Linked DNA regions of Coturnix japonica. The protein of the gene in region 4 interacts with the protein of the main gene of each other region in a pairwise test. Links are inferred from orthologs where the notes say so. Each region holds a gene or a part of one and is shown on either strand. Other genes may lie near its edges.

Region 1 (5,628 bases), on a different chromosome or scaffold from region 4:
TTTTCCCAGCGAGGAAGGGGGGGTGGAATACTCACAGAGCAGCCATCCCGCCCCCATCCATATCCCAGGGTTATTTCTCAGCTCAGCTAACACAGCTGGATTTGTTGGGCTGGTGCATATTTATCCCTGACAGGTGTAGCTGAGGATCAGATTGAGAATTAGCAGTTCTGGAGCTAAAAGGAGATAGATATAAAGGGCCGTCGTGGATGGTACATGATGTGTAAATGACTCAATTGGTGCTTCATAGGATAGTGGGATATCCTGAGTGTGTCCCCCCTCTCTATGGGTCTGATTGAATCTGGAGCGTCTGTTGGGAGCACATGGAAACAAGAGCAGGGATTGCTAGAGCTTAAAAACAGGAGAGGATGAACCGTCAGCATCTGCTTTTATTTACACATTGTGGGAGGGTGTGAGGGACAGAGCTCTGCATGGAGAAAGCTTCATGAATCCATAGAAATACACAGCTGTGGCTGGTGCTTGTCCTGTGCTCCCATGGCCCAGCCTGGGTTCCCATTGCCCAGTGCCATGTGTGCCCAGGAGGTGGCAATGCTCCTTTACACAAGGGCTCGAAGTAAGTCTCTATTGAAGGAGCATTACTGATATTGACCCACTGAATGGAATCTCTCCAGCCCTGGACTTCAAGGCACCATCCCTGTAACATCCAGGCTGCCAAACAGCAGAACAGCTTTGCTTCCTGCTGTCTCTGACAGCAGAATTTCTCTTGCACAGCATCAATCCCATGTTAAATTATCTATTTAATTGCCTAAAAATAGCCCGGCTATTTCCCCCTCCAAAGGCCAGCGTCCCCTTTGAAGTGGCAGCTGTTCTCCTGCTTTGCTGAAGTCTCCACCTGGTCTTGAATTAATTTCTCCCAGTCCTCAGAAATTCCTCCGTCCTAAAGCCTCACTGCAGGGAATGGGCCATCAGCTGGGATTCTGGGGTCCCTGTGTGTGTATGTATGGGGGGGATTCAACCTTAATAGGGCACAGCTGTATCTTATTCCTGTGTTCCCCCCCACAAAGGAGGGTGAAAATAACCCAAAATGGAGCTCTGGGACAGGCAGGATATCCAGTATGGGGGGGATGCAATGGGATTGGAGTGACTGGTGACGATTCCAACTCAATCAAGAAGGGGAAAAAAATTGAAAGAGAAATAAAACTAAGAAAAATCACCACTGCATTTCACTTCCCCCATCAATAACATTTTAATTTTCCAGCCTGACATGATAAGATCCATTGCCAGGGCTGAGCTGGATGCGTTTCAGCCATCAGTCTCAGGCTCTGATGGCTCTGCCATCCATCACCTCCTGCACACTGAAAGCAGGGCACGAATGGCTGTGATACAACACTACAGCCCCACGTCCTCTGTGGGAGTGGGTGTGGGGCCCTTACAGCTCTTTGGGGACAAATACAGGGCATAAAGAAAGGTATGGAGCTGTGTTGGGATGGACAGGATGGGTGTTAGGAAAAGGCTGAGCACCAGAGGGAGGTGGGCATGGCACAGCTCCACAGGGCAGGGGCACCCAAAACCATAGGGGTTGGGTGGAGGGAGTTGGACTTAGTGGTACCTGTAGGTCCTCATTGACCAGTGGTTGACTAATGGTTAACCAATGGTTGACCAGCTGTTGACTAGTGGTTGGCTTCTGGTTGACCAGTGCTTGCCCAGCAGTTGACTTGTGGTTGGCTAATGGTTGACCAGCAGTTGACTAGTGGCTGACTACTAGTTGACCAATGGTTGACCAGCAGTTGACCAATGGTTGACCAGTGGTTGACCAATGGTTGACCAACAGTTGACCAGTGGTTGACCAGTGGTTGACCAATGGTTGACCAGCGGTTGACCGGTGGTTGACTAGTGGCTGACCAATGATTGATTAATGGTTGACCAGTGGTTGACCAGCAGTTGACCAGTGGTTGACAATGGTTGACCAGCAGTTGACCAACAGTTGACTAGTGGTTAACAGTGGTTGACCAATGGTTGACCAGTGGTTGACCAGCAGTTGACCAATGGTTGACCAATGATTGACCAATGGTTGACCAATGGTTGACCAGCAGTTGACCGGTGGTTGGCTAGTGGTTGACCAATGGTTGACCAGCAGTTGACCAGTGGTTGACTACTAGTTGACCAATGGTTGACCAATGGTTGACCAGTGGTTGCCCAATGGGAACATACCGGTGCTGCTCAGGGCGGTTCCCGTACATTGGCTTCGCTTTTTGGCCCTGCGGAGCCACCGTAGCGTGCATCACATGACCGACGCAGCTGCCAGGAGCCGCCGAGAAGGGCGGAAGTGAAGGCGACAGGGGGGCGGCATGGAGGGGAGCCTGGAGCAGCACCTGGAGGACACGTACGGACCGGGATGGGGGCGGCGGGACCGAGGGGCTGGGGGGGGGAAGGAAGGCAAGGCCGCGGGCTGGGGGCTGGGTGTAGGCCGGGCTGACCGCCGCTTCTCCCGCAGCATGAAGAACCCGGCCGTGGTGGGAGTCCTGTGCACCGACTCGCAAGGCCTCAACCTGGGGTGTGAGTATGGGAGCGACCAGGGCAGGGCCTGGGTTAGGGGTGGGCATGGGGACACACATAGAGCCCCTATAGACCCCCATAGAGCCCCTATGGACCCCCTATGGACCCCTATGGACCCCCCCCATAGGACCCCTATGGACCCCTATAGAACCCCTGTCCCCCATAGAACCCCTGTGGACCCCCCCGCATAGAACCCCTATGGACCCCCCTATAGGACCCCTGTGGACCCCGCATAGAACCCCTGTCCCCCATAGAACCCTTATGGACCCCCCATAGAACCCCTATGGACCCCCTGTGGACCCTCATAGAACCCCTATGGACCCCTATAGAATCCCTGTCCCGCATAGAACCCCTGTGGACCCCCCCGCGTAGAACCCCTATGGACCCCCCTAGTAAACCCCCTATGACCCCCCCAGTATAAGACCCCTATGGACCCCGTATAGAACTTCCTGTCCACCATATAACCACTGTGCGACACCCCCCATAGAAACCCCTGTGGACCCCCTCATTAGAACCCCCCCCCAAACCACAGAACCCCTGTGGACCCCCCTGGATAGAACCCCTTGGTGACCCCCCATTAGAACCCCTATGACCCCCATAGATAAAAAAAAAAAACCCCCCCCCCCCCCCCTTAGAAACCCTGTGCCCCCCTGGCATAGAACCCCTTTGGGACCCCACCCAGTAGAAACCCCTATGGACCCCCTCCCCATATAACCCTATGGACCCCCCCCATATAACCCTATGGACCCCCCCATAGAACCCTATTGACCCCCCCATAGAACCCCTATGGACCCCCCATAGAACCCCTGTGGACACCCCATAGAACCCCCCCCATAGAACCCCTGTGGACCCCACCCCCAGTAGAACCCCTGTGACCCCCCCACATAGAACCCCAGACCCATAGAATCCCTGTGGACCCCCCATTACGAACCCCTATTACCCCCCCATAGAACCCCGTATTGGAACCCCCATAGAACCCCCCATAGAAACTCACGCATCGCAATGCGTGTCTGGATGCATACCCCCAAAGAACCCCCCCATAGAACCCCTTGGACCCCCCCCATAGAACCCCTGTGGACCCCCCTGCATAGAACCCCTGTGGACCCCCCTGCATAGAACCCCTGTGGACCCCCCATAGAACCCCTATGGACCCCCTTTGGGACCCCCCCCCCATAGAACCCTTATGACCCTCCATAGAAACCCCTGTGGACCCCCTGTAGAGCCCCTGTGGACCCCGCATAGAACCCCTTATGGACCCCCCCATAGAACCCCAATGGACTCCCATAGAAGCACCAGCACAGGTTGCCCCTAGCTAGATGTGGGTGCTCTGGCCCTGGAGACACTGGAAGTCAGGGATGGGGGCTGTGAGCATCTGCTGGAGCTATGGGTGTCCCTGTTCATTGCAGGGGGGTTGGGCTGATGGCCTTTATATGTCCCTACCAACTCATGTGATTCTTTGATCTGGGGAGGTACTACATCAGCTTACAGCAATAAGGGAAGGAAGTGGGGATGGGGAGCTGCCTCCCATCACGGTGTGCGTGAGTTCAACCCACATCTCCCCTCTTGCAGGCCGAGGAACGCTCTCAGATGAACATGCTGGAGTCATCTCTGTGCTGGCCCAGCAGGCAGCCAAGCTCACCTCCGACCCAACCGACACTCCTGTGGTGTGCCTGGAGTCAGACAGTGGGTGAGCATCCAGCCCAAGGCTGCTGCTCTTCCCTTTTTCCCCACCCCAAATCTCCAGAGCAGAGCTCTCCATCTTCTATTTCACTGGCAGAGCTGGAGGAAGCCCCATTGCTGAAGCTGTGTTGGGAGGGGGGTATGAAAAGAAGTCAGATTCATGGGACCTCAGGCTTTGGGAACTGCAGAAGCAGCTGGAAGCCTTTCAGGGGCTGGTGGTTGCTGCAGCACTGTATTTCTTTTGCTTTTTGGATCCCCATGGATTATTTAGCCCATGCTGTAGTGTCGTTTTGGTCAGCAGGACTCCATCATCCCCCTTTGTGGGAACAGCTGACAGGTCTGGCACTGAGCTGCCCATCTGGTTTCCCAGCCAAGTCAGCTCCTGCTCTCCCAGCTGGTTTCTCACCTTCCTCTGACAGCACTTTCCTTGCTCTAGGAACATCATGATCCAGAAGCATGACAGCATCACCGTAGCAGTGCACAAGTTGGCATCCTGACCGTGGCATCCTGATGCTCCATTCCCTGCTCCAGACCAGCTCCTCCTCATTCTCCTTGGCTGTTCCAATGCAGAACACGCTTCTAGTACCAAATCTGGGCTGAAGGCTCTCCCTCTCTACTTACCAGCTCCTATGCATCTATCAGGGTTTCCAGCTCACGTTTTAGCAGTCGTGCTGTTAAAGACGTGAGTCACTCACCAAGCTTGTGTAATGATAGATACTACAAGGTGTGTGTGTGTGTGCGTGGCCTTATTTGTTGGAGAAATCAATAAATGACCTGCAAAAACTGTTGCTTCTCTTTGATCCTACTGTGAAAGCCCATTGCTTTCCCTAAAGCCAATTGGAGGGACTTCTCCCAGTCTGATTCTTCATTGGCATTGCTGCAGAGAAAAGGGACCAAGACTTGGAGGTCCCTCCAGTAGAAGAGATACAAATAGTTCTCTATTCTCCTAGGAAATGTTTAGCCTCCTCTGGTTAAGCTTTCAGTGAGAGCAGCTTATTATTATGCTTCGGATTGAAGTTCAAACCTCAACTTGTTGGCCCTCGTGTGAACTGTGAACGGATGCTGATGACATCCCCGCGAATCCTCTCTTCCCTTTAGAGGTTTGAGCATTTGGAACTGGGCAGAACAATCCCATAGAAAGGCCCTGAAAAGCTGCTTTGCTCGAATGCTTCCGCAGCACAAGGGAGCAGACAGGAGCTGGCCTCATACGTGGAGCAGAAAGGAGGCTTCACTGCAGAGCATAGACCAACAGATAGGGCAGGGTTGGAGCTAAAACTGCATTCACTGTGTAAAACAGACATTCCTGACCTCACCATCACTGTTATGTATGTAGCAGGCTCTAAGGATGGGCTGCTCTGCACAGCGCTCTCATGGTGAGGTTGGTGCTAATGGAGGTGAGCAGTGCTACATCATGCCCATCATTTACCTCCCCTT
Region 2 (5,777 bases), on a different chromosome or scaffold from region 4:
GCATATCTAGGAACAGTATAAAGTGCAGATCTGTGCAGTGAAGTGCAAATAACCTTGAATCCATTCCCAAGGCAAAAGAGGGCGGTTACAAAGATGCTGATGTGATCGCTTCAGTGTGAGTTGAGTAAATATCTTACTGTTTAAGAGTGCTACATTAAAGATAAGTGAAGTATAATTTGTGAAACAGTGTCAGCTCTCTGCTAAGTTGTCAGTGAGGAAGAGAGCTGGCAAGATAAAGCACATTTATTTATCCATTACTGCATTAAGATTAGCATCAGCCCTGTACCAAACATCTTGTCATCTACCAGTAGCTATTACTGGAAATTAAGTCCAAAAGAATCTGTTACTTCAGATCAAGTTTGAGGTGGGACAAAGCTACTGTCTCTGTGTAATAACCGCTTTCAATCTGACTTAAGGACATGACACAAGTGCTACTCAGTTTCACAGAGCAGTAGCAGAAACTGAGACAGAAGCAGCAAGGTTTTAGAAATTTATTGTAAAGGCCTTTACAATTCCAGTACACAGATAAGGGTATAAAATGATGTTCTTTGGAATAATTAAGGCTGGATGGTGGTCATCTGCATGTCACTGAGTGGAACTCAAGCAAGAGCAACCCATTTCTGACTGTACATACTTTTTATTTCTGTTCCATCATTACAGTGAGATCACAAGTTACTTCAGAGACTCGATGCCTGCTTATTATAAAATAAAGGGCGTTATTTACACGATGAAAGAAAGCATTTCAGAATCTTAGTGGAATGGATGACGGATACTGCACCAGCTTCAGTCCAGGTATTTTCCAAGGATGTCACCGTCTCTAAACAAGTAGTAGTCCTGCAAGTATAAGAAATAATAGCGTCAAAACTCCTTTGATCAGCTGTTGTGCAGATAACATCTGGTACTGAAGGCTGCCACACATCATAAAGTACTAAACTGGGAGTGAGCTGACCACAGCTCACATATTACATACAATATTTACTGCTAACTGTGTGACATTATAGAATCCAGGTCATTTTACATCCACAAAACAGGAGAACATACCTTATCTTCTAGCACGATCTTGGTACCACCGTATTCTGGTAGCAAAACCTTTTCACCAACTTTGACACTCACTGGATGAATCTCACCATCCTGAAAGGAAGAAAATAAACACCCTTCATTTTACTCCAGTTCAATGGAAAGGTAATGGCACAATTGCTCCATACTGCAAACAAGTCAAATAATAGAACCACTTTGCAATATCCTGCTTTGAAAAGCAGACACAGAGACAAAAAGAAACCCCACGATATCTTTGGAGAGACTCACAGGCAAAGTCTGAGTCAACACACTCAAGTTAAACGTTAACCTGCTTTCTGCCATTGAGACTAACTGACCACTATTTAGATGGGGGAAAGATCCTCCAGTAGCAAAGCCACTAACCACGGGCATTTTAAGAAGGTGAAAAGACATTAAAAGGTCTCCTTCAGGATCTTCAACAGTCAAAGCTTAAGCAAGCTCAACTGGCATTTATTTCTACCAAGTCCTGATTTTTTGTTGTACATTAAGCCCAACTCTTATGGGCAATGATTTTTTGGACAAGACAGCGAACGCCACGTGCAGAACAACAAAGAAAAGCACGTAACCATTCACTGTTTAAGGATGCTTATCAATAGCTGGTTTCAAAAAGCAAGCATTTTCCATTTTGCAGATGTTCAAAGGAAGACTGGAATTCAAGGCCAGAGCCAGGCAGGGGAACTGAAACCTTCTACCTCTTCTTTGAACCTGCACTTCCACCTTCAATCACCCCTCTCAGTTTTTGTGCTATATGATTCAACGTACTCTGCAGCCATCCCTTTCCTGCTACCACTTTCCAGCTGCTCAAGCTGATGCTTCAATCAGACTCTTACCTTCCCTCTGGCTCCAGATCCAACTGCTACCACTGTTGCTTGCAGCACTTTCCCTTGAGCTTTTTCTGGAATCATGATGCCTCCTTTGGTTACAGTCTCTGCTGCGCATCGTTCAACCAGAACGCGATCAAACAGGGGAAGGAACTTCCTAAATGCTTTTCCTGCCTGTGAAGGGGCACAACGTTAAAGGAAAAACAGATGAACAAAAGCGCATCTAAAGCAAGAAAACCCACAACTAAGTGGGTGTCAGAGAACAAGAAGAAAGTTGAGCACTTCTTTTCCATAGAAGCGAATTATACCACCTGTGATTGCATTGCAGAGCTGTGCTATGACTGCTTCAAGCTCTTCAGAAGCAGCTCACTCCCAAGCTGCTCACACTGGGCACTCTGTGCCCTTAAGGCTCCTCGCTCCAGCTGAGGGAATGAGCCTCCAGCAGGTGGAGCAGGAGCCACATGTGGCTAATCCTAAACCGTTACTTAGTACGGCTCACTGAGAACAGCGGCTCACTGAGAACAGCTCGGTGATCACAAAGACAGAACTCAGTCAAGACTGAGGGCAGCTGCGTTTTCATTCACCGTAGCAGAGTATTTTATAGTAACAAACTGTCAGTCTAGGCCTGTAGCTGGTGCCTGTCTTTTTTGGGCAGTTTAAAGGCATGGCATTTCAGGTGATGTAAGAGAATTAATCAAGTCTGAAGTCCAAATGAAGACTGCTGTTAGTTGGAATGGAAGCAGCACTCCAGCTCCCACACAGGAGATGAAGGCAAGCACAGCACCCTGCTAAGCAGGGGCAGGAAAAGGAATTTGCTGTGGTTTAGGAGGAAAGCTATGGAGCCTTGCCAAGCCACATGGAGACAGTGTGATGCAAGGCAGGTACCCTGGGCTCACTGAAATGGCTAGAAGCAGCCTGGCAGCTGGGCACCCTCCACTGACACTGATCAGCACTGGAGCTTTAAAACTAGGGGGAAACGAAGCTGTAGGCAACGTGTGAGAGATGCATCCCCAGCTAAACTGCTATTACTGGAATGATGCAAGACATGGAAATGACTGTGAACCGGGATGATGTTCATTCTAAGAAAATACCAGTGCTGATCTCTTTCTCTTTAGATTCCCTGAAACCAAACGTTCTGTTCAACTGCAATCAGAACGCAGAATGCTGCCACTTTGTGCCTAAGCTTCAGGTAACACTGTGTCCTTCTGCCTGCTCTCACCAACGAGATGATCATCGTGGTCCTTTCCAGCGCTGGCCACTTTACGTTTCCTAATTTTATAAGGATCTTAATAACGATACACTGACGCAGGTACAAGGACAGCTGTGCCCTTAGGGCTCCTGCAGAGAAGCCCTGGATGGGAGCAGCTTACAGAGCACAGCACCAGCAGCTCCGTTTTCCCTCCCGCTCCTGCGGCCCCCAACGCAGCCCCCAAGGACTCGGTGACCTTGCAAACCCACTCCCAGCTCCGGGCCGGTCTAACCGAGCGTCCATAGGGCGCTAAGGCAGGACTGCAACGAAGGGCTCACCCGCTCTATCCCTGCCTGCCTCCATCCCCCCACAGCCCCACCGGCCGCATCAATCACCATCAATCACCATCAATTACCCTCCAGCAGCACCAAGCTGCCGACACCCCCATAGTGCGGCCTACTGCCCTGCGGACGGGCGGGGCGCAGCAGCGGGCACAGCCCCACGCAGGAGCGCAGGGCCGGGAACACGGGGCCGCGGCCGAGCGTGTGGTCAATCGCGGTGCCGGCTGTGGGGGCACATGCACACACACACACATACACTCACTCACACACTCACTCACACACTCACTCACCATGGCGGCTCCGTCCCGCTCCGCTCCGAGTGACCGCGCCGCTCCAAGCACACGTGAGGAAGGTCACCCCGTGCGCATGCGCAGCCGCCGACCCTGGCTCCTGGCCCCGCCCCGCCCCCAGCCGTGCCGCCCGGTGCCGCGGCTCCGTTATCCGCCGTCCCGGTGTCGGTGTGTGTCCCGGTGTGTGTCCCGGTGTGTCGCTGTGTGTCCCGGTGTGTCGCTGTGTGTCCCGGTGTGTCGCTGTGTGTCTCGGTGCTGTGGCGGTTCGGTTCGGGGCCGGGCCGGGACCGGGGTGGTGCTGCCACCCGGAAGTGAAGTCAGCCGCCCTCTGACCCGGGGCGAGCATGGGCATTCCAGAAGGTTCTGGAATTGGCGAGCCCCGGAACATGGGTGATTCATGCTCGGAGCCTCCTGCACATGCGCAGAGCGCGCCGTACGCCTAGATCCTTTTTTCCTCTATGGGCGGACCCAGACGCTATGCAGGTTGCGGGGCTCGGCCGCATGAGTGTGTGCCCGGCGGGGGCGGGGCCATGTGAGGGAGTGTGTGAGTGTGTGAGTGCGCGCCGCCCTGAGCGCCGTGCGGAGCGGAGAGCTGAGAACGCACACACAGCGCTACGGGACGCGCCGCCGGCACAACGCAGGTCAGTGGGGAGCCGAGCTGAGCTGTGCTGTGCCGTGCGGAGCTGTGCTGAGCCGTGCTGTGCTGGGGCGGGCCGCTCCTCACAGCGATGTGGTGGTGCTGAGGGAGCGCCGCGTGCTGACTTGGGCGGCCTTGCTCCCATTGCACGCCTGGTCCGGTGTGTGTGTGTGTGTGTGTGTGTGTATATGTGTGCAGCCCTGCTATGGCTCCTCACAGCCCCGTTGTGTTGCGGCCGGCTGCATTGTGGCCGGCAGGGGGCGGCGGGCTCTGACCTTGCGGCGCGTCCTGCTGTGGGGACGGGTGGGCATGTGGCTCCGAGCGCGGCCTGCGGGCGGACCATGTGCTGCTTTAAATCTGTATGGCTTTAACATCGGGTTTTACCCCCCAGACATGCTCCGTTTGCCCGCCGTACTCCGCCAGATCAGGCCGGTATCCCGAGCGCTCGCCCCGCACCTGACTCGGGCCTACGCCAAGGATGTGAAGTTCGGGGCGGACGCGCGGGCCCTGATGCTGCAGGGGGTGGATCTGCTGGCAGATGCCGTAGCCGTCACCATGGGGCCCAAGGTAACGGCGGGACGGGCTGCTATTGCGGGCGTGCCTTAAAACGTGGCGATAGGCGACGATAGTGTGCGTGGAGTCCCGTTACTTGCACGTGGGTAGAGCTGCGTGGCCATGTTCACATCGATCCCGTGGGCACAAAGGAGGACGGGCCGCTGCTCCCTGTGAGGGGCGCCTGCCTTCCTTTAGGCACTAAGGACGGCAAGGGGGCGACCGCGTGTTGGCTCGAGTTACTGCCCCTAACGGCGTGGTAGATAATTAACTCCTTCCAAAGGGAACAGTTACATTAGCGCTTATTTATTATCGGGCCAAATTACAGCTTTGTATCCTTTCATCTCCTACCAGCAGCAAAGTGGAAACACTCAAGGCGTAATGCTGAGCTTGCAGCCAGCTCTGAAATGCTTTAACCTTGATGGAAAATCCATGGCAGGGGCATCTATTGCTTGTAGGGTGCAGTGCAGTTTGGGAACCTCTGCAAGAAAATGAGCTGCTGTGTTCCGCACAGTCATACAACACAAAATGAGGCTCCTGCTAAAGGAGCAGATGCCTTTTTACTTCACATCTGTAGCAATGTTTGTTCCAAATCAGGTTCAGATAGTGATTTCTCTATGATTTCAGACCTGTTATCTGTTAATCTTCTCAAGGCTGCTTGGTACCTATTAAATTATTTCTCCTATGCACACCTTTGGAGCTTCACATGCTCCAAGTGTCATTAACTGGACACAGTTAAGGTTGAGGAGCAGCGATGTCAGCAATCTCTGGCTGCTTTCCATAAGAACAGCTCTCAATAAGAGGCTGCAGTGTCATCAGCTGATTTAACGCTTGGTTTGGGCTTAGGCTGCATTGTGAATGCCTGAGCTTGGCTTTAATGTGCTGGTTAAA
Region 3 (4,967 bases), on a different chromosome or scaffold from region 4:
TTTCATTGCTTCTTTCAGCATTATACACCAGAGCACCTAAAGATGAAGCCCACTTTTACCTGATACCAGCTGCTGTGATATTAGATATATCTGTAACAGCACATAACTTCCAGTTACAGATGCTTTGATTGTAACACCATACTAATAAGATTTTCAGCCTGAGCTTAATACTATGTGTGGTAAACTCCGCACTGAGCCAGGAGGAATTTCAGGAATTTTATGGGAGCTGTGTATGTCTCAGGAGACGCAGTTCACAACTGCAGAGGACAACTGAGGGGGGGGCAAAGTCATCCCCCCCATTCTCTAAAGCATCAAGGGCAGCATCTCACAAGTGCTGCTTCATCAGTTTCATTGCTTGTTGTGCAGCATGTTTCCTCCAAAAAAACAGGAGGCTAAGCTTCCTACTCAGTACAACTGTTAGTATGTATGGTCAGACAGCAAATCAGGCACACTTTTTTCTGCTACACTTTAGCTGTTACATGTGCTGGAGTGACAGCTTCCATTGCTGGAGCATACAGGATTCAGAGAGCAGTTCATAGCAAATGTCATGTTTATTCACTATTAGTTTTTGGTCTAACTAACTAAGTCTAATCAAAGTAAACACTACATGTATTTGACATCTAAGGAGACCTTCAGGTCACCATCACATTTGAGCTGCTTCTGCCATGTAGAAACCTCTATAGCTCCAAATGAGTAACTCATTTAACATGTAATGATGCTATTTACTGGAGATTCGTGTTCCCAGTATCCATGTTTCTAGCATGGACTGTGATCCCCTAGCAGACCGCAAAGACAACATACTACAATAAATGAGCTCATTAAGTATGCAGCTCTTTAGTCTCGCAAGCTGTTGCAGAGGGTGAAAAGCTGGATTATCAACTTGGGAAGCACACTTGTGATCCAGCTGGGCCCAGAGAGAAAGCATGTGAGCAACATCCCTATTACTGTTGAGTATACCTTTGACTACAGTACATGAGCAAAGCAGCAGTGGTATTGCAGTGACATGCTTCCCCACCCAGTAAGCCAGATACTCACAGAAATTAAGTGTCAAAAATTTATTATGAAAGCTTCCATAGCAGCAAACGTTTAAAAAAAAAAAAAACAACAAAAAAACAAAAAAACTATTGCATTATTAAACCAGTACACTGGCCCAGAGGCCTGTTGAAGTCTGTCTGCTTTAAGAGTGTCTGTATTTGCCTTGATAATTAGTCTCTAAAAGTCCAAGAAGTACTGAAGCTTGCTTCTCTTCATGTTTTGTAGACAGCACCAACAGCTTATAGTCACAGTACTGTTCAATCCTGTGAAGTTTTGGACCACTTCCCCTAACTTTCTCTGCTTTCTGAAACAGATCCACTTGACCAGGAAACTTGCAATACTCGTTTCAGTTCCATAGTACATTATCTTCCACACAGCTGCAGTCTACTGACACCCACTGATGAGGTGAGCTATTCTTTTCCTTTCTCCTCTGTAAGAGCCCACAGCATGCCAGTCTGAGTGACTGTAATCCAGTCCCTTGACCAGGCTAATCCATGGAATCAGCAGCTTGTTGCACACTTCGGTGAACCAACACCACGTTGAGAATGCAACAGAGGTTTCAGCCTCCCCAGCATGCCAGGCCATAGTCACTCAGGTAAGACAATAGTTGGCACCCACTCATTGACGTTCCGGCTTTCTTCACAGAAGCAGTTCAGCTTCTCTAAAGCTGGATCCTTCCAGCCATCTTCATTTGAGTTCTGGTAGAAAAGCATCGCACACCATGAGTGCACAAAGTCACAGTATTATTTTACAGAAGCACTAGCTTAAAAAGCAAAGCATTTTCAGAGACAAAGAGCAGGAAGCTGAGCTGTCACCAATGTGGGTGGCAGTGAAACCCCCTTTACAGAAGCACCGCCCCCTGTATCTCAGCAGTTCTGCACCCCAAGGGCTAAGCCCGGCCAGCCCACAGAGCTCCATCCCTCCCAGTCCCAGCCACGCACCGTAATGAGGATGCAGTGCAGGTCTCTGGGCTCACCAGACTCTTCGTTGGATCCCACGGCAGCAGCCAGCTTGGGTAGGTCGTTCACACGCACGATGTCGATGTCATTCTCGCAACAGAAGGCCTGGATGAGGGTGAAGTGGATCTGTAGGGCGATGTCCCCCTCGTCCTCCTCATCGGCCGCCAGCACGCAGAACGCCACGTTATCTGGGTCCCTGCGGGTGGCGAGCACCGTTAGGCCCTAGTAGGGCTTCCTTGCCCCTCGCCCCACTCGCGCTGCCCGCCCCCCCTCACCCCACTCACACGTTCATAAGCTTGGCCGACTCGTAGACGCCGGCAGTGAGGCAGCCGCGGCGCTGCGCCGACACCAGCAGCTCGTGGAGGGCCTTGCCGGCGCCCTGCATCCTGGAAGCCGGAGAGAGCGGTCAGCACGTCACCAGCGCCCGGACAACGGCCACCCCACCTCCCAGCCAACCGCCTACCAGTCCTTGCCCGCGGGCACCGGCTCCTGTCCTTGCGCCTCTTCCAGAGTCATAGCAGCGTGTCGCCAAGCAGCGCTGTCACCGATAACCCCCAGCTCCTCCCAACAACCCAATACCCACGTCCTGCCGCAGCTCCAGCGGCTCCTGCTCCTTTTAAGCCCGCGGAGCTCCGGCGCTGGCAGCTGGCGGCGGCCGGTGCGTTCCCATTGGCGGACGGGGAGCCGGGGGAGCGCTTTGTCATGCTAATGGCCGCACGCCGGGCGGGAGGTGGGGGCGGCTCGTGCCGGGGGGACACGTGGTGGCGCAGGGAGGGCGGCCACGGCCGCGGCGTGGTGGCGTGATCCGCGGGCACGGGGAAGGCGTGTGCCGGGAGGGGGCCCACAGCTGCTGCGTGGCACCGTGCTGCTGCCTTGGGGATGCTGGGGTAGGAGGGTTCCTTCTTAACAGTTGTGCTGAGGCTGCTCGGGAGGTGGGGGAGTCACCATCTCTGGCGGTGTTCATTAATCGTGTGAATGAAGCGTTGAGGGACTTGGGTTAGTGCTCGTGGTGGGGGTGGGTTGGCGGTGGGGCTTGGTGATCTCAGGTCTTTTGCAGCCATTGTGATTCTATGAGTGCTCAAAGGCATTCTCAGCTTGAAAGTCTGCATTGCTACCTGCTGCACTCCCTTAAATGGCATGACTTGAGCTGCTGCTACGGGGTCAGTGTGCATCACCTTAATCTGTTCTTCCAGGTACATAGGTCACTCCTCTTTATTTCCGTAGAAATTACAACAAAGAGTGCAATAGCACTGTTTGATGGAGCAAATTCTCAGCTTCAAAACACATATTTTCAATAGTCACCATCTTTAGCTTTTCATTTTCACCAGCAGTGAACAAGAGCCTTCATCTCATGTTCGTAAACATCTACGCCAGCTGACCTTGCTCAGAGAAGGTCTAGATGCCCCATCCTTGGAGACATTCAAGGCCAGATGGGTGGGGCCTTGGGCAGTCTGATCTGGTGGTTGACAAACTGCCCATGGGATTGGAACTGGATGGCTTTTGTGGTCCCTTCCAGCTCGAAGCATTCTGTGATTTTATGATAGATGACCCACCTATCACTGTCACCACTGCTGAAACACACCACCTACTGCCTTACTGTGATCACATCCACTGTTTGGTCTCTATAAGCAAACATCTATGAATGTCGATAGGTGCCATTTTTTCAGCATGGAGGAATTCAGTGACACAGCTTTGCTCCATACACACTTCCATGTCAGACACTGTTCTGTCAGACTGCCCCTCTGCTGTCACATAGCAACAAAATGCAATGCAGTGTTGGTGGGAAGGTCCAACCTCTACTACCACCTTCCACCTCTGATGTCATGGGCTGACAAAATGGGAGGCATTAATTTCAGAGCAGCCCCAGTGTGCAGCCACAGACCTTTAACACACAAATTCCCATTTCTGCCCACAAGCCCAGTGCCCTGCAGCCACAGACTCCAGCAGACTCTGTGCTGCAGACAGTTCTTTTGTCTGGTGGAGAACTGACAGCACCACGTCCTGGGTAGCTCTGCTGCTGAGTGCTTCAGGTCATTCAGTATCAGGGTGGGCCCACCACACATCAGTGCCACGCAGGCACCATGAAGCACATTTTGCCATTAAATTGGCCAGCTGCTACAGTAGCAGTAGCACGGAAGGCCACCCTGCAGCCTTGTGTTATTTGTCAGCACATGGCTGAGCACCACTCAGTCCCGGGTGGTGGTCACATCCACAGAAAATCCCTGACCTCTGCTAGACATCGAAAATATTAGGGCTGCAACAAACAGCTGGGCCCTCACATGGATGCCTTGCCTATTCTCATATCATGAGTGTTTTTTGTGAAAGCCTAGAGGAGAAGAAAAATAGGAAAAAAAAAAAAAAAGAAGTATTTTCTGCATGAAGAAAGCCCTTAAAACAGCTCCTAAGTAAGTCAGGTGCAGAGTAGTGGGGAAAGAGGTATTCAGTGTTCAATTACAGCAGTGGCAAAGAGTACAGCAAGAAAAAGCAGACAGAACTGCAGCTAGGTTGTACTCCTGAATACCTGGTAACAAACTGCTCTTCCCCTGATCAGCCCTGCTGTCCTCACACTGCAAAACTTTTTCTCCAGGTACTGAATTTCACAAACCAGAAAACTAAAGCCCCACCGCAGTCAACCCGGGAGTCTTGGGAACCAAGCAGACGGCTCCCTCTGCTGACACTGTGCTCAATGGCACTTCAGCTTCCAAAACACAACAGCTGAAAATGCTGCTGTGAAAATAAAAGCATCTTTCAAATAAGTTAAGTGTTCTGCTGTTAAAAAATGGAGCATTCCCACAAATATAGCTGAAGTGATGTAGGATGGGCACCACTCCCATCATCATAGGATGTAATGCAGCTCAACACAAAGCCTTCAATTTGGATGTCTTTTCAGACTTCGAGCTAAAAAAAGACAAATGCAGCCTTTGCATTAATTTTGGTTGTTGGTGTCTTTTTTTTTTTTTTTTCTATAGAAAA
Region 4 (5,564 bases):
CATAACCAGCACTGATTTGGCCAGGGTGGTTCAGGATAATAACCTAGAAGAGCAGGCGATTAAGTTACACCAGGGCAATTCTGAAAAGCTCCCCATAGACTGGTGTGACTTGGAAAGCCACAGCTCTCATGTATTTGCTTAAGGCAAATCCCATCTCGGAGCACAAGTCTGTATCACCTTACAGCTCAGCCCCCGGTAACAAAGAGCAAGGTTCTGTATTTCACAATCTAAATGCCTTCAAACAGTTGCAAAAGTCACCTGTGCAGTGAAGCCAGCAGCTTCCATTGGAGGATCATTCTTGCTGTCACCAGCAACGTTACCACGGCGGACATCTTTCACAGACACGTTCTTAACGTTGAAACCAACGTTATCACCAGGCAGAGCTTCGCTAAGGGCCTCATGGTGCATCTCAACAGATTTTACTTCAGTTGTAACATTAACGGGGGCAAATGTGACAACCATGCCTGGCTTCAGGACACCAGTTTCCACACGGCCAACTGGTACAGTACCAATGCCTACAGAAGTGAACACAGAAAGCCAGTTAAGTCCAGTATATGCTTACAGAGAAAAACATTTCAGGCAGGAGTTTCACACTCAAGTTCCCAAGCAAACACTAGCAATTCTGTCCCATACACAAGCACTGTGGTGAACACATACCACCAATTTTGTAGACATCTTGAAGAGGCAGACGCAGAGGTTTGTCAGTTGGACGAGTTGGAGGCAGGATGCAGTCCAAGGCTTCCAGGAGGGTGGTTCCACTGGCATTGCCGTCTTTGCGGGTAACCTTCCATCCCTTGAACCAGGGCATCTGTAACAAAACAGCCCCCAACCGTCAGTCATCTGCCCATGTTAATAGAACGAAGCTATGAAACAACTGGCCTAACTCCTTGCATCATCTTCATTACTGCAGAATAACAATTCATAAAGCACTAGGATTTCACACTGACCCCAACATTTCAAAATACTACTACTGAAAAAACCCAAACCCACGTATTTAACTATTGTTTAACTTATCTTAATGATCCTGCTAGTTCCATTTCCTAATATTAAAAAGGAAAACAGGGAAACCTACGTTAGAGCTGGGCTCCAGCATGTTGTCCCCGTTCCAACCAGAGATTGGCACAAAAGCTACAGTGTCTGGGTTGTAGCCAATTTTCTTGATGTAAGTGCTGACTTCCTTGACGATCTCTTCGTATCTCTTCTGGCTGTAAGCGGGCTCAGTGGAATCCATCTTGTTAACACCAACGATCAGCTGTTTCACACCCAGGGTGTAGGCCAGAAGAGCGTGCTCGCGGGTCTGCCCGTTCTTGGAAATACCGGCCTCGAACTCACCAACACCAGCAGCAACAATCAGGACAGCACAATCAGCCTTTGAAAAGGTAGAAAAAAGCCCTTGTTAGAAAGCCTACACGCACACTAAAGCACATGGGCAATTTCCCTGCTGTAAACCAGCCAAGGAGCAGCTTCCCTCAACTCCCCACATCCTTTATTTCCTTACCTGAGAAGTTCCAGTGATCATGTTCTTAATGAAGTCTCTGTGTCCAGGAGCGTCGATGATGGTGACGTAGTACTTGCTTGTTTCAAATTTCCACAGGGAAATATCAATAGTGATACCACGCTCACGCTCAGCCTTGAGCTTGTCCAAGACCCAGGCGTATTTGAAGGAACCTTTGCCCATCTATGGGTTTGAAACAGGAAAAAAAAACCCCTCAAGATATATATTTTCATTTACCTCACCAAGACCATGAAATACACACTAACGAGCAAAGTTATTAATAGGGAGTGACTTACACTGAAAGCTGCTGTTGCTCATAAAACTCTGGCCTAGGTTCACTTGGCACTACTACCAAGATATGCCAACTGCTCTGTCATTTAACCTGCTGACACTTCAGCCCTCTTGACAACTTGTTAATTGTGCTAACACATCTTTATGATGGATCTCTTAAGGCTTAGTCCTACTATCAAGTGTCCACTACAAATTTTAGCTTAGTTACTAATGCCATCCCTGCTCCAGTTGGTATTTTAACAGCCACACAGCCCAGCATTCACTGCATTTCCTTTTATCATGTGCTTACGAGGTGCTATTTTATCACTAAAACAAAACAAAGGAAAACTGGAATACTTCCACAGGTTCACATAATGGTACCTTAGACTCTCCCACCTTGAGACAAGGCTGATCATTACATTTTCAACTAAACTACAAGATGACATGAGACAACAGTCTAAAGCTGTGCCAGGGGAGGTCCAGATTGGATATTAGGAGTAATTCCTACTCCATAAGAGCAGCAATGCATTGAAACAGGCTGTGCACAGAGATGGTGGAGTCACTACCCTTGAAGTGTCCAAGAAACCTGCTGACGTGGCACTGAGGGACATGGTTAGTGGCCATGGTGGGGATGGGCTGATAGTTGGAGTTTCAAGGTCTTCTCCAACATTAACGATTCTGTAATTCTCAATCCAGGCCGAGAATGAAGATGGGAGCTCCCATTTTGATTCTAAGCGTTCAGATTTAGCTTCATGCTCTTTATTCTATGCTTCGATGACTTCACCTTAACATAACAGATTGAGTACTCTAGTTCAATTACCAGGACAATCTCGACCCAACCGCCTCCTTGTGGTAGTAAAACGTTCTGGTTTCCTTCCTTTTGCCCCTTATTCCCCCCAGTCTCCCACCACACGGCTGCCTCACACACCTCGGCCGCCTCCTTCTCGAACTTCTCGATGGTCCTCTTGTCGATGCCACCACATTTGTAGATGAGGTGCCCGGTGGTGGTGGACTTGCCGGAATCGACGTGGCCGATGACGACGATGTTAATGTGAGTCTTCTCCTTTCCCATTTCGGATGGTCTTTAGCTTCTTTCTTCCGGCCAAAGAGAAACGACACCTGAAAGTTCCAGAAGGAATCCCGGTTACAGCGGCCGCCCCCGTCCCGCAGCAGCGCCGCCCGCAGGGGGCAGAGGGCCCGTGTAGGCTCGGCCCCGCCCCACCGGGGGATGGGAGGGGGGAGTCGAGCAGCGGGGAGAGGCGGGCGGTGTTGGCGGCCCGTGTCCCCTCCGGCTCGCCCCCCTCCTCCGTCGCCCCCTCCCCGCATGGCGGCCGGGCCGGGCCGTGCTGGGGCGGCGGCGCGGGGCGGCGCGGAGGGCGGGGCCGCCCCTCTCCTTTGTGTGTGACTCACCCCGCCCGGGCCGCCGTCCTCCATTTTGTGAGCTGACGGCGGCAGGAAGAGCGGGCGGCCATTTTTTTTCTCGTGCCCCGGCCTTCCCTTCCCCCATCGCCCACACCGACGGCGCGGCCCCGCCATCCCCGGCCGCCACCCGCGTACGGCCGAGCACCGCACGCCGCACAGCAGCGCCAGGCGGCTCCGCAAGAAGCCGAAGCGGCGGTGCGGCCCCATGTGCTCATCGCGGCGCTGCCTCGCGTGAGCCCTCGGATGGGACACGTCGGCGTTACGCCGCCGCTCGCCCCGCTTCCCCCATCCGCCCCTTATCTCGCCATCCCCCCGCTCCGCCATCCCCACGCACCGCTGCACGGCGGCGCCTCAACCCCCCGCTCACGGTACATCCACGCACCCCCAGCATCCCCGCTCCCCCCACCCCCGGGCCCGGCCCGCCCCGCCGCACGCTCCTCACCCGCACGGCGTCGGCAAACCCGGAGCGGAAAAGAACGACGGCGTGAGCGCCGCCCCTTATATACCCTGCCACGGGGCGGGGCCTCGGCGCCGCGTCACGGCTCCCGGCGGGCCCAGCGCTAAGCCCCGCGCTAAGCCCCGCCCGGCAGCGCCGCACGCCGTGCTCCCCTGGGGGCGGCGGGGAGGGGCGGGGTGCGGATCCCAGCCCCGGGGGAGCCGGGCCGAGTGGCGGCCGGTCGGGACTCGCTGCCCCAATGCTGAACGGCATCGCCTGGAGCGCGGCCAGCCGGGATGGAGGTGCCGCTCCGCCGCCTCCCCCTCGGCACGGCAGCCATAGAGTCGCCGAGCTCCGCCTCAGGCCCGAGACTGCGGCCCGAGGGGACGCGGACAGCGAGCTGCGGGGTGGGAACTTGCAGACTAGCAGAGATCCCCGGTGGCCTCGCGTTTCACACAGGGCCAAGGAGATTCGCTTCAGCATCAATTCGGGGCTTCTGCTTGAGAGCTCCAAACTGCCCCGAGTGCCCCCATGCCGTACATTCCCGGCTGACAGGTGCCCCATGAGAGTCACCAAAGGTGCTGGCAGCCCCAGCCTTTGGCTTCTGAAACGGGGGCACCAGCACTGAAAGCCCTCGTGATTCCAGCAGGGTGTACTCGTGTAAAACACCTGTATGGCTTTCTAGTGGGAAATTAACCCCAGAAGGGAAACAAATACTTTATTCCTTTAATCACAGAACGACCTGGTTTGGAAGGGACCTCAAGGATCACCCCCTGCCTGGCAGGGCCACCAAACATACACATTTACTAGATCAGGTTGCCCAGGGCCCCATCCATCCTGGCCTTGAACACCTCCAAGGACGGGGCATCCACAACCTCCCTGGGCAGTCTGGGTTAAAAGGATCTGTTTTCTTCTTCTAAGAGAATGTAATGCACCCATGTTACAGTTACTTACGTGTACTCAACTGTAATCCCATTCAATTGTTGGCAGGGGCTCCACAGAACATGCTGAGTTGGAAGGCAGCCCCAGGGATCACCGCGTCCCACTCCTGGCTCCACACGTCTGAGAGCAGCATCCAAATGCTCCTTGAACTCCAGCACCGCGGGCCATACCCACCAATATATAACTATAGCTCACATCTAGGTGTTAAATCACTGAAGGCATTTGCTATGAAGGCAGAGTACCAGCATCTTCATTAAGTGACTTTTCATGGCTCAGGCTGAGGAGTAAGGGTCAATAACTAGTAAGAAAGCTGAGCACACCACATCTGTAAAACCAAGGCTGTAAACATGTCCACGAAGCTTTATTCTACAGGATGGTTTCTAGTTTAGCTTCTGCAATGCCTGTCAGTGGGGGTGTTTTTAGATGGATAAGTTTGTCCAAGTATCTGTTCTGCTAAAGCATAGTTGAAAACATTCAGCCACTTGCACCTCAGCAGGGGGAGGAGAAAGGAAATGTGTTACTGATTTCTTACGCGGCCCATAAGAAACTGCACAGTTATGGGATGTATTTAAAAGGCTTCCATAAATAAAGGCATATGGAAGCATGCATTTCTTAGGACAGCAGTTTCGTTGGTATATTCACAGCTGAAAGCCTGCCGAGTTGTTGGATAACCTTCTAACCATGCCCTAGTTAAGTCTTCAGCAGTCGTTCCTTTCCCCGTGCTTCTTTAATTGGATTTTCAAAGGAGTTTTTACCATTTCCTCTACAATCAAATAGATGCTTTTATTCTCTCGATAACTGGCGCATCTTTCCTCCATTCTATTAGCAGAACATTCCTATTATCAATCCTGTAAATATTTATACAGCTGGGGACCTTCAGATATGTGAGTATCCTCACATTGTTCGGTGCGAATGCCTTCTGAACTATCCTCTCAGCTAACACAGGCCAAAAGCCCGTATGCAAATAACCTCGAAGGAATTAAAAATGTTGCTAATATG

The links.
Region 1: the proteins of EEF1A1 (region 4) and LAMTOR5 interact in a two-hybrid assay, tested with the Homo sapiens proteins (2 studies listed by BioGRID and IntAct). The link is inferred for Coturnix japonica from reciprocal best matches to the Homo sapiens genes EEF1A1 and LAMTOR5.
Region 2: the proteins of EEF1A1 (region 4) and HSPE1 interact in a two-hybrid assay, tested with the Homo sapiens proteins (2 studies listed by BioGRID and IntAct, with this or other methods). The link is inferred for Coturnix japonica from reciprocal best matches to the Homo sapiens genes EEF1A1 and HSPE1.
Region 3: the proteins of EEF1A1 (region 4) and GADD45G interact in a two-hybrid assay, tested with the Homo sapiens proteins (2 studies listed by BioGRID and IntAct). The link is inferred for Coturnix japonica from reciprocal best matches to the Homo sapiens genes EEF1A1 and GADD45G.

The regions. Positions count from the first base shown.
Region 1 is NC_029541.1:1,787,949-1,793,576, reverse strand, and holds LAMTOR5 (ragulator complex protein LAMTOR5), read left to right. Parts: upstream 1-2,206; 5' UTR 2,207-2,306; coding exon 2,307-2,341; intron 2,342-2,452; coding exon 2,453-2,514; intron 2,515-4,083; coding exon 4,084-4,201; intron 4,202-4,630; coding exon 4,631-4,691; 3' UTR 4,692-4,978; downstream 4,979-5,628. UniProt on the Homo sapiens protein: As part of the Ragulator complex it is involved in amino acid sensing and activation of mTORC1, a signaling complex promoting cell growth in response to growth factors, energy levels, and amino acids.
Region 2 is NC_029522.1:3,901-9,677, forward strand, and holds HSPE1 (10 kDa heat shock protein, mitochondrial), read right to left. Parts: upstream 3,872-5,777; 5' UTR 3,701-3,871; coding exon 3,698-3,700; intron 2,052-3,697; coding exon 1,887-2,051; intron 1,132-1,886; coding exon 1,042-1,131; intron 835-1,041; coding exon 784-834; 3' UTR 478-783; downstream 1-477. Other genes in the region: HSPD1 (60 kDa heat shock protein, mitochondrial), read left to right, coding at 4,728-4,901. UniProt on the Homo sapiens protein: Co-chaperonin implicated in mitochondrial protein import and macromolecular assembly. Together with Hsp60, facilitates the correct folding of imported proteins.
Region 3 is NC_029547.1:39,081,658-39,086,624, reverse strand, and holds GADD45G (growth arrest and DNA damage-inducible protein GADD45 gamma), read right to left. Parts: upstream 2,737-4,967; 5' UTR 2,511-2,736; coding exon 2,458-2,510; intron 2,381-2,457; coding exon 2,279-2,380; intron 2,191-2,278; coding exon 1,977-2,190; intron 1,734-1,976; coding exon 1,623-1,733; 3' UTR 1,041-1,622; downstream 1-1,040. UniProt on the Homo sapiens protein: Involved in the regulation of growth and apoptosis. Mediates activation of stress-responsive MTK1/MEKK4 MAPKKK.
Region 4 is NC_029518.1:74,352,290-74,357,853, reverse strand, and holds the start of EEF1A1 (elongation factor 1-alpha 1), read right to left. Parts: upstream 3,759-5,564; 5' UTR 3,630-3,758; intron 2,885-3,629; 5' UTR 2,838-2,884; coding exon 2,694-2,837; intron 1,679-2,693; coding exon 1,499-1,678; intron 1,370-1,498; coding exon 1,073-1,369; intron 809-1,072; coding exon 658-808; intron 516-657; coding exon 259-515; intron 44-258; coding exon 1-43. UniProt on the Homo sapiens protein: Translation elongation factor that catalyzes the GTP-dependent binding of aminoacyl-tRNA (aa-tRNA) to the A-site of ribosomes during the elongation phase of protein synthesis.